Linked DNA regions of Mus musculus. The protein of the gene in region 1 purifies or fractionates together with the protein of each later gene. This does not show direct contact. Links are inferred from orthologs where the notes say so. Each region holds a gene or a part of one and is shown on either strand. Other genes may lie near its edges.

What was found. Proteins that work in one complex are often made in the same cells at the same time.
Region 2: the proteins of Chd3 (region 1) and Smarcc2 fractionate together in Homo sapiens (co-fractionation; 3 studies listed by BioGRID, with this or other methods). This does not show direct contact. The link is inferred for Mus musculus from reciprocal best matches to the Homo sapiens genes CHD3 and SMARCC2.
Region 3: the proteins of Chd3 (region 1) and Zfp512b purify together in Homo sapiens (affinity purification with mass spectrometry; 3 studies listed by BioGRID and IntAct, with this or other methods). This does not show direct contact. The link is inferred for Mus musculus from reciprocal best matches to the Homo sapiens genes CHD3 and ZNF512B.

The regions. Positions count from the first base shown.
Region 1 is NC_000077.6:69,342,273-69,345,697, forward strand, and holds the end of Chd3 (chromodomain-helicase-DNA-binding protein 3), read right to left. Parts: intron 3,363-3,425; coding exon 3,199-3,362; intron 2,991-3,198; coding exon 2,864-2,990; intron 2,207-2,863; coding exon 2,079-2,206; coding exon of another isoform or gene 1,960-2,078; 3' UTR 1,001-1,959; downstream 1-1,000.
Region 2 is NC_000076.6:128,457,428-128,462,379, reverse strand, and holds the start of Smarcc2 (SWI/SNF complex subunit SMARCC2), read right to left. Parts: upstream 3,066-4,952; 5' UTR 3,054-3,065; coding exon 2,943-3,053; intron 1,029-2,942; coding exon 909-1,028; intron 1-908. UniProt on the Homo sapiens protein: Involved in transcriptional activation and repression of select genes by chromatin remodeling (alteration of DNA-nucleosome topology).
Region 3 is NC_000068.7:181,589,397-181,594,286, forward strand, and holds the start of Zfp512b (zinc finger protein 512B), read right to left. Parts: upstream 3,066-4,890; 5' UTR 3,025-3,065; exon of another isoform or gene 3,018-3,024; intron 1,590-3,017; 5' UTR 1,588-1,589; coding exon 1,464-1,587; intron 1,217-1,463; coding exon 1,074-1,216; intron 786-1,073; coding exon 657-785; coding exon of another isoform or gene 564-656; coding exon 1-563. UniProt on the Homo sapiens protein: Involved in transcriptional regulation by repressing gene expression. Associates with the nucleosome remodeling and histone deacetylase (NuRD) complex, which promotes transcriptional repression by histone deacetylation and nucleosome remodeling.

The DNA of each region.
Region 1 (3,425 bases):
CCTCAGTTTTCAGAGGTCTTCAAGATTTTGTTTTTAATGACAAATAATGTATGTAGTTCTAGGGTATAAACCTCCATTTGTAAAATGTTTTGTCTTTTTCCTGTCCTTCGGTTCCAGCTGAAATCTCCCCTTTTGGAGGCCAGCATGCATCTGTGGGAATGTGTATGTTTTCTCTATACGTGTTGCCAAAGGGAATGCTATGTTTATTTTCTGCTATTTTATGTTTTGAGTATTTCTAGAGTATAAATTTCAAGTGACTATCTCCAGAGCCGATAGCAGTGTTAATGTTATATGTATTCAAAAAAAAATGTTTGCTGAATTTATTTTGAATGTAATAGTCTCTAGAATAAAGTATCTGGGCTCATTCAATCTGTGAAAGACTGTTATTGAATAACGTTATTGACTAAGACGGAGTTCTGTCCAACAGTTCAGGGACACCACAGTCATCCCAGTTCTTTAAAACAAAATAAAACAAGGTGTCTGCTCCACAGTGGAGCTGTGGTGCTGTGGTGACCTCTGCTGACTCTGGGGAGGTGGCTTTCAGTGTCAGGCAGGCGGCTCCCTCTGCTCTTGGCACCTGCCTTTGGGACCTCAAGGATCCTACCACTCACCAGCTCTGTGCTGAGCTCATCCTGTGCTTAATACTGGAAAAAGGTCTTATTCTGGTGAATGATTCAAGAGATAAAAATGCAGAAAAGTCACAAAGTAGAAAAGGGATTAGTAGCTGGGCGGTGGTGGCGCACGCCTTTAATCCCAGCACTTGGGAGGCAGAGGCAGGCGGATTTCTGAGTTTGAGGCCAGCCTGGTCTACAAAGTGAGTTTCAGGACAGCCAGGGCTACACAGAGAAACCCTGTCTCAAAAAAAAAAAACAAAACAAAAAACAACAACAATGCAAGGGGCCCCCAGGGAACCTATTAAGATGAAACAGTACAAAGCAGTCATCCTTACTTTACCTCCACACAAAAAATTCCCCTCCCCAGGCAAAAATGACAGCACGCAGAAAGGAAAGTATAATTTATATGTACAACCGATAACCTGATACAGAAGAAGGGATTGGGACAGACCAGGAGTGGGAGAGAAAGACTGGGAAAGGCGGCAAGGAGGATATGGGGGTTCCCCATGCAAACTGCCACTCCCTGGCCCCTCCTTGGAGGGGGAATGTGCCCGAATCTCCCTAGCCTGATATCCACTGTGTTGCTCGGTCCCACAGGCAAGACAGGCTCCTGACTAGGTCCCTGGCCTGACCTACTCAAATTTAGTCTGTATCCAGGCCTTGAAGAGGGAGGATTTCGTCCCCTAGAAACCTGAGCCCCAGCGTGGGGGTCTGCCCCATGCCTGGCCCTCTGTGTTCCCCCCACCCTTTCTAGGTCACCTAGAACAGGCTGGGGAGCTCCTCTTTGGCTTGAGGGAGAATCACCCAACCCTTACTCTGTGGGGTGGTCCTTGGTCCCTGGGGAGGAGAACAGTTCCTACTGCAAGATGCTGACACACAGGAGGTAACCGAGCCAGTGAACAGCAATCAGCTCGCTCTCTCTCACTTGTAGCTGTTGTACCCTCCATTTGGAAGAGGGAGGAAAAGTGCCATGCAGCCCCCCCCCCTTCCCTTCCTCCTCCCGCTATTTTCATCTTTGTAACAAGGTTCCCCTCCTCTTTGATGATCTCATAGAAGTTCCTAAAGGCCGGGCAAGGCTAATCCCCCACTTTGGCAGGAGGTGGAGGTGATACTACAAGAAAGGCCTGGGAGGCTCCACCTCCTCCCTCCCGGACAATCATTTATTGGGAAGCTGTGTATATTTGGTGGTGGGGCATCCAGGTACTTGGAAGACCCTGTTAACCATCTCCCACCTAGACCTCTTCACACCAGCACAGTCTTCAAGGTTTGGTGGGAAAGGTGTGTGGAGGTGGAGAGAGATAGGGGTCCTCTTGAAGGGAGGCATTATAGAGGGGCAAAAGGGCTCCTAGCCCAGTGGTGGCCCAAGGGGTGGGGAAGGTGGAGGGTTGGCAACAGGCCCCAAGGCCTGAGATGTGGGTCGGCTCCGGGGTCGGGGCCTAGGTGAAGGGCAGGCCTGGGATCCAGTCAGTCGTCTATACAAATCACCTCCCCTGCTCGGGGCTCCTTCCGATCCAGCCCCAGCCCGTCTGATACCAACGCCCCCACCATTTCCTTCTCTTTCTTCACCAGCACTGGAGGGCCGTTGGTGGTGGCTGTTTGGGGAGACAGGTAAGAAAAAGTCAGCCCCCACATTCCAAATATCACTCCCTGAGAACAACCTATCCTTACTGCTAAGTCATTTCCTGCCACTTCTGATTTTTCTTATAAATGTAGAAGGATTAGATTCCTCTTGTACCAAGATGTGACAGGTCTAACTCTCTGGCTTTTCTGAATTCACATTCACTTCCCCTTGAGGAAACCAGGTAGAGGAAGCTCAAGTGGGCGATATGAAACCATACGATGGGTAAGGCTTTTGCTTTCTTGTTTTTTTGAGACAGGGTTTTCCTACATGGCTGTTCTTGAACTAGAACTCACAGAGAACCACCTGTTTGTGCCTCCCAATTGCTGGGATTTACTGTGTACCACCACACCCAGCTGGTTTCTTTTTGGAGCTAGCATCTCACAGAAGCTCAGGCTAGCCTGAGGACTCTCAGGAACCCTGCTCTGCCTCAGCCTCCTGGTTGGGGTTGTTGACATGGGGACAGAAGGGATACAAGGGGATGATGGACAGAACAACCCAGAACAACTCTCCCTAAAACACTGGACACTGACAAGGAAGAGGAACAGGTCTGAAGCAAGACAGGGGAGTCAAGCAGGGATGGAGTTTGGATAAAGTCAGGGAGAAGAAGGCACCAGAAGCACCGTCTAACCTGTGATGAAGGACCCTGCAGGCATCTGGCTGTAATTGGCGCCTGCGGCGGCCAGGGCCCCTACGGGTGCGGCGCTGAAGGCTGCCCCGTACCCCGGAGGTGTGGCGTAAGGACCCGGGGGAAAGGCCTGGAATAGGAGAGCAAACTGGGGTTATTAGGGAGTCCACAGTTTGGAGGGGAAAAAAATGAAGCTCCAGAGTTACTAGGCAGGGAGACTCGGGATGCAGACCGTGGGGAGCAGGCTGCTTCCCTCCACGTGCAGGATTCTGATGGAAGGTTTGTGTATATGTACAACGGGCACCGACAGGAAAATGAGTTAGGGAAAAGAGGGTTACCGGTGTGGGGTGAGGCTCCGTGCCCTTGCTGGCCAGCCGGCTGAGGATGCTGCGCTCGGACATCTGAAGGCGGGCTGCGATGGGGGGTATTCGGGACAGCGTGGCTGGCAGGCGGGTCACATCTGCCTTCATGTCGCTCAGCAATTCCTCCAGCTGGTTCAGAACTGGGGCCCGGGCCACAGAGAGAGAAGGGCAAGAGAAAGGTGGAGAGAAAGATGGAGCCAGAA
Region 2 (4,952 bases), on another chromosome or scaffold:
TTGTTAAGTTTCCTAGGCTGGCTTGAATCAGTAATCTTCCTGAACCAGGCTTCTAAGTAGTGGACACTCCAGGTGTATCACCATATCTGACCTAAAGCCTCACTTTTTTTTTTTTTTTTAACTTTTTAGGGCTTCTTTCTTCCTTCCTTTCTTCCTTTCTTTCTTTCTTTTTTATTGTTGATGTTGTTTTTCGAGACAGGGTTTCTCTGTGTAGCCCTGGCTGTCCTGGAGCTCACTTTGTAGGCCAGGCTGGCCTCGAACTCAGAAATCTGCCTGCCTCTGCCTCCCGAGTGCTGGGATTAAAGGCATGCACCACCACACCCGGTTTAGGATTTATTTCTTCTGCATGTGTGAGTGCTTTTCCTGCATGCCCATGATGCTCAGAAGGCATCAGATGCCCTGGAACGGAAGCTAGGGATGTTTGTAAGCTGCTATGTGGGTACTAGGAATTGAACCTAGGTCCTCTGTGAGTGCTCTTAGCCACTGAGCTATCTCTTCAGCCCCCAAGAACAACCATGAAAGAGAGAGAGAAACACTGCAGGACTAAACCTGACATTCTCAGATTACTACGGGTTGTGAAGTTTTTCTAAAATAACAGGAATGATCAACTGGGGGCTAGGTCAAGCTGTAATGCTCTGACTATTGATGGACAAGGAAAAAAAAAAAACTCCCCAAAATTTGAAATTTGAAAAAGATGAGTTTTGCTTTTCTTTTTCGACATGGTACTACACACACACTGTCTTTGAATTGCTATATAGATCAGTCTGGTCTCCAACTTTTGATTCGCCAGTCTCAATCTCCCTAATTCTGGATTACAGGCACGTAGAAAAAAAATTTTTTTAAAGAGCAAAACAAACGAAAAACCTCTTCCCAGTTCGGAGGATTTGTCCCCCTCCCCTTGAACTCACCGGCAGTTTAGTAAGCGGTGCGTTGCTGACATGTTTGCCAAAAACCTCTTCCTGAAACTGGAGCAACTGCACCACCAGGCTGGACAGAGACTTGTTGGTTGGCGGTTCTGCTTGTATGTACTTGGGAAGGAGGGAAGGGAAGAAAAACAGATTCCAGATAAATTCTCTACCACCACCCACGTCTCTCCGTGAGTTCCTGGAAGCACCTGGAACAGACAGAATTGCGCCTTCCCCTCCACAGGTCTAGTTTATATATAGAGGGCTTCAGGAGGGACTGGACCCTATTGCCACCAGCCCAGGTGACCGGGACTGAGGACTGGCAGCGAGTGACGCTTTATACTCTTCCTTGGCTGTACCCTGACGTTGGAATGGCAGGACACCGCTATCTCGGCACCTCACCTCCAACCAACTGTAAAAATTCTGAAGGTTGATGGAGCTCAAGGGAAACAAAAACCCCTTTGAGTCTCTAAGTGATACAACAATGTATTTCTTGGGGGAAACATGATAAAGACTAGGCTTCCGTCCATAATGGTGTGTTAAGAGAGCAAGGGAGTGAGGCAGGACATGCTCACTTAAAAACTAAAGCCTGCACATTTTGCTTCTACTGAAGCCAGGCATGGTTGGCATTGTAGGGTCTCCTCTCTAGCAAGGATCTCAGACCACCCACCCAGCTTGATAAATAAGTAGTAAGACAACCGCCGGGAATCCGTGAACTCAAACACTTCCGTACCATACCTACCTTGCTACCTGGGATCCTACCTTTCTGTTCTGTTCACTGAGCCAGGAAGCTACTTTCTCTTTACCTTTTGACCCTTATTTCCTCTACCCTAATTAGAGTCAGCACCTCTCGGTGGGAGGTATAAAGAGATCCGTGAAGGGAGAAGTAAATGACAAAGAGTTAAGCACTTGAAAGCTGAAGCAGGTCACAGCTGTCAAAGCCTTCGGGGCTTCACACCAAGACCCTAGACCGATCTCCCTTTAAAAGGTCAAAGGCAGAAAACTGGGAACCAGAGCCTCACGCTGAGGGTGCACACAAGTCACAGACCCAACAGCTGTTTGTCAAGAGTCTGACACCCAACAGAGAGACCCCAAATGGTTTCAGGGCTAAACTCAAACCAGAATTAGTGGAGCTTTCTGAAGCTGTCCACTGTACTCTGACAGGCTGGCTGCAAGGCTGGAGTAGCAAGAGTTGGGGGCTGTAAAACAAAGCAAGGGAAAAGAACCCTTAGCCGGGGTTGGTGAGGAAGCAGCCCATATCGAAGACAAAAAAGAAAAACGAAAAAAAGCCCAGACACCATGAAGACACAAGAATAAAAATTGGTTAAAAAAAAAAAAAAAGATAGATAGGGCTTCTTGAACCCTTTTGTTCCCCATCCTTATTTCCAGTTACAGGGTGGGGGTGGGGACTAGCGATATGAAGCTTATCCGAGCCTCTGGACCTCAAACCCAAAGCAATGCCAGGCTGGCTGGCTTGCAGAGGACTTCATTATGAAAGGAGGGTTGGAGGGGCTGCTGCCCTAGACTGCCATGTCCTGTCCCCTGAGAGGTTTGCAGCCCTTTAGAAGGAGACTAGGGTAACCCTGGGAGACAGGTGATTTCCCCAGGTAGAGACGCTTTTCAACGGCCTGCTCCGCGCCCGTCTACCCTCCTGCTCTGCCATCTGTCTCAGGACGTACACAAAGCACCACCGGGGAGGCCTGGGCCGCTCTGGCGTCTGGCTCGGCGCGGGGCTCCGGCGGGGGCCCCGCGGCTCGCACACCGGAGGGGAGGAGGCGCGCGGCGGCACCGGTCAGCCTGGAGGGCGAGGGCTGCCGGGCCCGGGCCGCCGCCCGGAGCCGCCGCCGCCCCCGCCAACGCCGCTGCGCTGCACCGGGGCAGAGGGCACGGTGGGGGAGGGGTGGGGGAGGGGCGCGGGCGGGCGGGCGGGAGGCGCGGGGAGGCCTCGGGGAGGGGCGCGGCGGCCGCCGCAGGGTGGGCCGGCCCCGGGAGCGGCGGCCAGGGGCCCTTTGTCCCCGCGCGGCGCTGCCCGCGTACCTTCTTGTAGTTCTTGCCGAGCCAGAGCCGCACGTTGTCGAACTGGGTCACGGTGTCCGCGGCCTCGTAGTACTTCACGTTGGGGCCGCCGTCCTTCTTCCGCACCGCCATCTTCTCGGGCTCGGGCCCCGCCGCCGCCCGCCCCGCTCAGCTCAGCTCCCGCCTCCTCCTCCGCCCGCCTCCCGCCGCCTCCCGCCGCCACGACCGCCGCCTCCCGCCGCCTGGGCCCCGGCCGGCGGAGCGCCCCCTGCCGGCGGCCCTGCGTAGCGGTGGCGGGCGAGCCCGAGCGCGCTCGGCGGACACCCCGGCAGCAGCGGCGGTGGGAGGCGGGCGAGCCCGAGCGCGCTCGGCGGACTTCCCCGCAGCGGCAGCCCGGCTGCTTCCCCGGGTCTCGCAGGACGCGGCTGTAGGACAGCGGAGCCCTCCCCGACTTGGTCTCGCAGCGGCAGTGGGGCTTACTGTTCCACTCCACGGGGAAGCCGGGAGCCCCGGGTCTGCAGCTCCGCCCCGTAACCCCGAGTGGCCCCCGGCACGTACGTTCCCGTGGAACTCTTTCGCTCCAATAAGTTCCTTCCAACCATTCCTGTTTCAACCCACGAGTGTCCCTGACGCTCCTCGTCCCGGTGCACCCAGCACCCCTGGTGCTACCCGGGGGGGTCAGGTGAGGGGTCTCCTCCCTCTGATCTTCGGGTCTCGCCAGTCGCCTCCGCTTTAGGAGTCGGCTGGCGAGCCCCGATTCTTCGACCCAGGTTCAAGCATTGTGGCGCGAAGGTGCGAGGGAGGGAGCGGCTCTGGGTACGAGCCTCGGGCCGCGACCCTGCACCGGTCCGCTCGCACCCAGTCACCCGTGCGGACCCTTTCTGTAAGCGCGCGGCCAACCATAGTTTTGGGAGTCACGGTGGCCGAGTGGTTAAGGCGTTGGACTCGAAATCCAATGGGGTTTCCCCGCACAGGTTCGAATCCTGTTCGTGACGGCAGTTTTTCGTATTTTTTTTCCCCCCTCCTATTAACCAGTAGTTGAGTGGTTGAAAGTGAAAAGGCAGCACTACTCCTTTAGGTTAGACCAGGGTGACATACAAACCAAATTGGGCATCGCTGTATTCGCTGTTAGGATACCAGGCACTTTGAGATATTTTTGAGAATTCTGTAACATTTCATAACAATGAAGAGTAGTCGTTTTGTTTGGGAAAGCTAGTCAAACCTAAGATTTCTAAACAGGGCATCTTTGGAGTTTGTGACCAAAAGTGGAGCCTTGAAGTCTGGTGACTGGAGACACAGAAACAAGCGTTTCTCATTTGGATTTTTCTTTTTAATTTAGACAGGGACTCATGTGCACAGGCTGCCCTTGAACTTGCCTTGCAGCCAAGAATGACTTTAAATTTCTGATCCTCCTGCCTCTACCTCTCAAGTACTAGGAGTTACAGGTGTGCCTGAGCATGCCAGGATCCTTTGCGGCTCGGAACTGAATCCAGGGGTTCAATTTGTTCGATAGGTAAGCATTCTGTTTCGCTACATTCCCTAGCCCTCATTTGAGTTTTCCTGAGATAACCTCAGGTATCACGGGACTAGGAGGAGGCCTACGTTGAGGATTTGTTGGGCACCAGAGGCTGGTTAAAATCTGTGTATATTAACCAAGCAAGGGAATTCCTTTCTCAGGCTCTAACCCTCTCATGTTACCCAGTTCTTTTTATATTTCATTTCTTGCATAGCAAAACCTTCTCCAGGAAAGGATCTCTGAGAATTCATGGAGCTCCTGGTTTTGGTTTTTGGTTTGTTTTTGGGTTTTGTTTTTTGTTTTGGTTGGTTGGTTTTTTGTTTTGTTTTGTTTTTTGAGACAGGGTTTCTCTGTATAGCTCTGGCCGTCCTGGAACTCACTTTGGAGACCAGGCTGGCCTCGAACTCAGAAATCCGCCGGCCTCTGCCTCCCAAGTGCTGGGATTAAAGGCATGCACCACCACCACCCGGCTCTGGTTTTGGTTTTGGTTTTGGTTTATTTTTACCTTATTTCCC
Region 3 (4,890 bases), on another chromosome or scaffold:
GTAGCACGAAGTGTTTTGTTCTCAGATTTGGACAGCAACACCATTTTGCAGGGTGGTATGTGTCTGCTGATGGCGATGGGCCTGCTGACCGGCACAGGCTTGCTGACCACAATGGGCCTGCTGACTGGTACTGGCTTGGTGAGTGGCACAGGTTTTGAAACTGTCACAAGCTTGGTAACTGGCATATGTTTGGTGAGTGGCACAGGTTTGGTAATTGGGATGGGCTTGGTGACTGGCACAGGCCTAGAGACTTGCATGGGCCTACTGACTGTGACAGGTTTGGTGACTGGTATAGGCCTACTGACTGTGACTGGCTTACTGATGCCAATGGGCTTGCTGACACCCACTGGTTTGCCAACAGTAACAGGTTTGCTCACTCCGATGGGCTTGCTGACCCCAACAGGCCGGCTGATGGTGACCGGCCGGCTGACTGGGCCAGGCTTGGGGGCAGGTAGGGGGTGGTCCATGTGATTCCATATCCGGTGCTTCTCCAGCTGGGTCTTGGAAGTGAATGCGGCCTCGCAGAAGGGGCAAGGGAAGGCCAGCCTATCTGAGATAGCACCCTGGGCAGGGAGGGCAGGTGTGGGATGGGGCCCCGGGGGCCTCTGCCCAGATGCACCCCCAGGCCTCCTCTTCCCTGGCCCACAGCCCCTTACCCCTTGGCACCGCTGATAGTGGTACTTGAGCCCATAGATGCTGGGGAACTCTAGCCAGCACCCTGAGTTTGGACACTTCACCCTTGAGTGTGCCTTGAATTCATCTTTCCACTGGTTCATCAGAGAGAGCTGGGCAGAGGAAAAGGCCAAGCTGCTGACCTGTAGCTACCCAGACTTAAAGTTCCCCCAAGCCAAATAAGCCCTTCAACCTCAAGAGCAGACCAGGAATTCAAGCCATGCTGCAGACCTATGCTGATGACTACTCACAGCCCACTGGGACTTTGTAACAGACACAAGGGCCCTAGGGTACATGCTCAAACAAACTGGCACAGGATATATGGAGGGCTGGTAAGGGCATGGAAGTGGCCTTCACAGACTAAATTGAATGGACCCCACTCTAACCCTCAGGGAGCTCACAGGAATATCTCGGAGAGCTTGGTTCTCGGCTTTCGGCCTCCCTTTTTTCTTCCCTTCTGTCTTGTCACTGGCTGAGTTTCCAGGGTCAAAGCAGAGTGGGGCCTGGCTAGGCACTGTATGTCCACTGTGGACCACTGGCATCCCTATAGTACAGGAGACAGTAAGGCTCAGTGGTTGCCCAATATCACCGACCCCCAAGGGCGGTGGCCCAGACTGAGTCTTGGCTCACCCAGATAAAGGCCCAGTGGCTGGAGTTAACCCAGGACAAGAGCATGGCTACAATAAGGCTGACAATCTCCACCCCACAAAGGTCCTCAGGATACCCAAGGAGGTAACTCTACCACTGGCTATCTGTATCCTCTAGAACTGATTTCTGCCTTAGCTCCTCACCTAGCTTTGGTGGGTCCTGCAACAAGGGAAGTTGGGCCTCCTTCCGGCTGCCTCCCTTTCCAGGTCCACTTTTGCTGGATCCTTGAAGCCGACGGCCTCCTCCAACACAAAAGGATTCAGTCATCTCTGCAGAGTAAGTACACAGACCTATGAGACGAACAGGCTCAACCCAGGACTTTCACTGGGGCTATCCTAGAGGCCCTCAATATGTCTCTCTAGCCCTGACCTCCTATATTGATCACATCAAAAAGCAAGTAATGGAAGCTTCTAACTTAGAGAAGGGGGTTTGCCCAGACAAGGTCTTTCTAAATAACCCAGAAGACATGAGAAGTGTAGAAAGAGCCAAGACTCTTACTACATTTGACACCCTCACCTACACCCTCATCTAGACACACAAAGACCAAAGGCTGCTGAGGATCAGCCTGTCTTCAGAGGGTCCACGCAATTGAAGAAGACTGATAATATTCCTCATAGGGGACAATTAACACTAGTAATGGTTGCTGGCTCACAGGCAGCCACATCACCACACCTCAGGGATAGCTTCTCCTCAGAGTCCTGGCCCCTGCCATCTAGATACACAATACTAACCTACTCAGATAAGAGCCCTTGAAGACCTCTCTCTAGGCAAAGAAGCCAATATGGGTCCTGAAGGCCCATGTCCCCACCACATGCACTCATCCCTCTGGTTGGTAAAGTGAAGATCCACTAGAAATACACTTTAGTCCCATGCTGAGCTATCCTACCTGCCTGCCTTCTCAGCCTTCTGTGCAGACAGGGCCCCTCCACCCAGATGAATACACCACATCAGACCCTCAGCCACCACAGCCTAGGCAGCCACCATTTCTTCTTATTTTCAATAGCTTCTAGGTTCCCTGCCTAGGAAGCCACTTCAGCTAAACAAGTTATAGTCAATACTGGCAAGCAGAGGCTATAGAGTATGCATGCTGCTGCCCTGGGGTTGGGCCTCTGGGGACTGTTCTGCTTGCAGCATCACATACCCTGAAAACCGAGGAAGGCTCTAAGCATAGAATGGTGAGGCCTCGCAGAGGCACCCAAAGCCACAGAAGGGGGCGGTACCAAAGAGCAAGGTTCAAGCAGGTGAGTCCTCTCCTAACAGTTTTTGATCAACTCAAATCAGAGGGGATGTGTAGGGGCTGCGTTATCCAGGAGGTCTAAGGTCAATCACCGTTCATTGCCAAGGACAACACCCCCATCCTGGGCCTAGGGGAGGGGAGGGGAGGGGAGGGGGGGTCTGAAGTCAACTAAAGTTCTCTGGATGTCCTCGTTTTGCAGCTTCATAAGGAAATGAGTTATCCAGAACCCCGATTACATTTGAGGTCCGGGTTATACGGCCTGCTGCAACCTTCTAGTCTTTCAGAGTTAGGGGTAAGGCCTGGCCGCCGGAGTAGGAAGAAAACCCCTCCTCCACCTGGGGTCCCTGCGATCTCCCTTGTAGCCTCCAGGGAGGAGGGCGCTGCCGCGGACGCAGGCCACTCCGCCCGGCCCCGGACGAGCGCAGCCAAGAGGCGCACCTGGAGGCCCGTGGCCACCCACCTGTCACCTGAGGCCGGACGCGGGCTGCAGCCTGGCCCGGAAGCGCCGACCGCGGGGGGGCGAAGGCAGTGAACCAAAATGGCGACTTTTTCTGGAGGAGGAGGCGGGAGGACGGCGCCGACGCGGGGAGCGGGGCGCGGCGCGGGTCCGGGCGCGGCGGGGAGGCGGGCTGGGCACAGGGCTGGTGCGGGGCGCGTGTGGCGCCGGGGCCGCGGTAAAGCGGGCAGGGCCGGCGCTTACCTGCAGCGCCCAAGGGGTGCGGCCGGGCCAGGCCGGAGCCAGAGCCGGGCCGGGGCGCGGGGCGCGGGGCGCGGGGTCCGGGCGGCGCACACTCCGCGCCGTGCTGCGCACATGCGCGCTCCCGCCCCTCCTACCTTTGACAGTTTTACTGCGGGGGGGAGGGGGGCGAACTCTCGCGGTATTCACGCGGCCGCCGCTGCGGGGAAGGGGCCGGTGGGGCCGTTCCGCCGCTCCGGGCAGTGCGGTCCGTGGCCCAGGTGGTCCTGGCCTCCAGGGCCGAGCGATCGGTCACGCGTGCCTTGGGCAAGAGTCGCTTTGTGGACAGTCCAGTAAACTGAGGCACGTCAGGAACTCTGGACACTACCGCAAATCCTGCCTGACGGATTAAGCAACCGGTGTGGTTGCGCTGGCTGAAGTAGATCCTATGAAGGGTTATAGGACATCTGTAGGCTGTCAGGGGGCACCTCAGCCTCTATCTGTCCCTTAGGCCACCTTAATCTAGACACGAAGACCGATAGGCCTTATTGCGGTCACTGGCTATTGAATCAACTTCTCCCTTCTTTGTGAACAGTGTGGTCCTAGACCAACAGCCAGTAAGTATCTAACTTCTCTGGCCCCGAGCCTGGGCTGCTAGTGTAAGATCTAGGGGGTGGGTGGGAGGATGACAGCACAGCCCACACAACTTGGAAATAAATGAGGCAGAGAAATAAACACCCTTTTGACAGACTAGGAAGGGGAAATAAATGAGGCAGAGAAATAAACACCCTTTTGACAGACTAGGAAGGGCCAACTGGCTGATAAGGAGGTAGAATGCAAAGCCTGGGGCTCCACAGGAGCACTCAATAGGGAAGGGAAAAATTCAGCTTTCATTTGAGTCATAATACTGTTACATGTTCTCAGCCATGCCCACTGTTTTTTTTTTTTTTTAAGATTTATTTATGTTATGTATGTGAGTACACTGTAGCTGTCTTCAGACACATCAGAAGAGGGCATCAGATCCCATTACACATGGTTGTGAGCCACTATGTGGTTGCTGGGAATTGAACTGAGGACCTCTGGAAGAGCAGTCTGCGCTCTTAACCACTGAGCCATCTCTCCAGCCCCCCCCCCCCACTGTTTTTTCTAAAACAACTTTTCACTATGTAGCCCTTTGTAGACCAGGCCAGCATCAAACTCAGAGATCTGCCCGTCTCTGCCTCCCATATGCTGGGATTAAAGACGTCTTTTACCTTTTGTGAGTCTCCCAGGATGTGGAACATCAGACTGTTGGTGGGGATCAGTGTGCACACAAAGGTGTGTTCAACTTTCCCTGTGTAAGTCTGAGTTTTCACAAGTGTGATATACCAATGCCCATAGGTTATTACATGTCTAAGTGACCATGTGTTATCAGGTGGTAGTCATATATGGGCATCATGATGTAGGTGAGGGCACTACATTCCCTGAAGCTGTGAACTGCCTGAAGAGGGTGCTGGAAACTCAATTCTGCAAGAACAGCAACTGTGTTCTCTCTCTCTCTAGCCCCACCTCCCTGCAATTTTTCTTTATGTGTGTATCTAAGTGTCAAGACATTTTGCAATGCACTTATGTGCACCATGGGTTATGTCATGTCTAGTGTTAGTGATTATGTATTGTA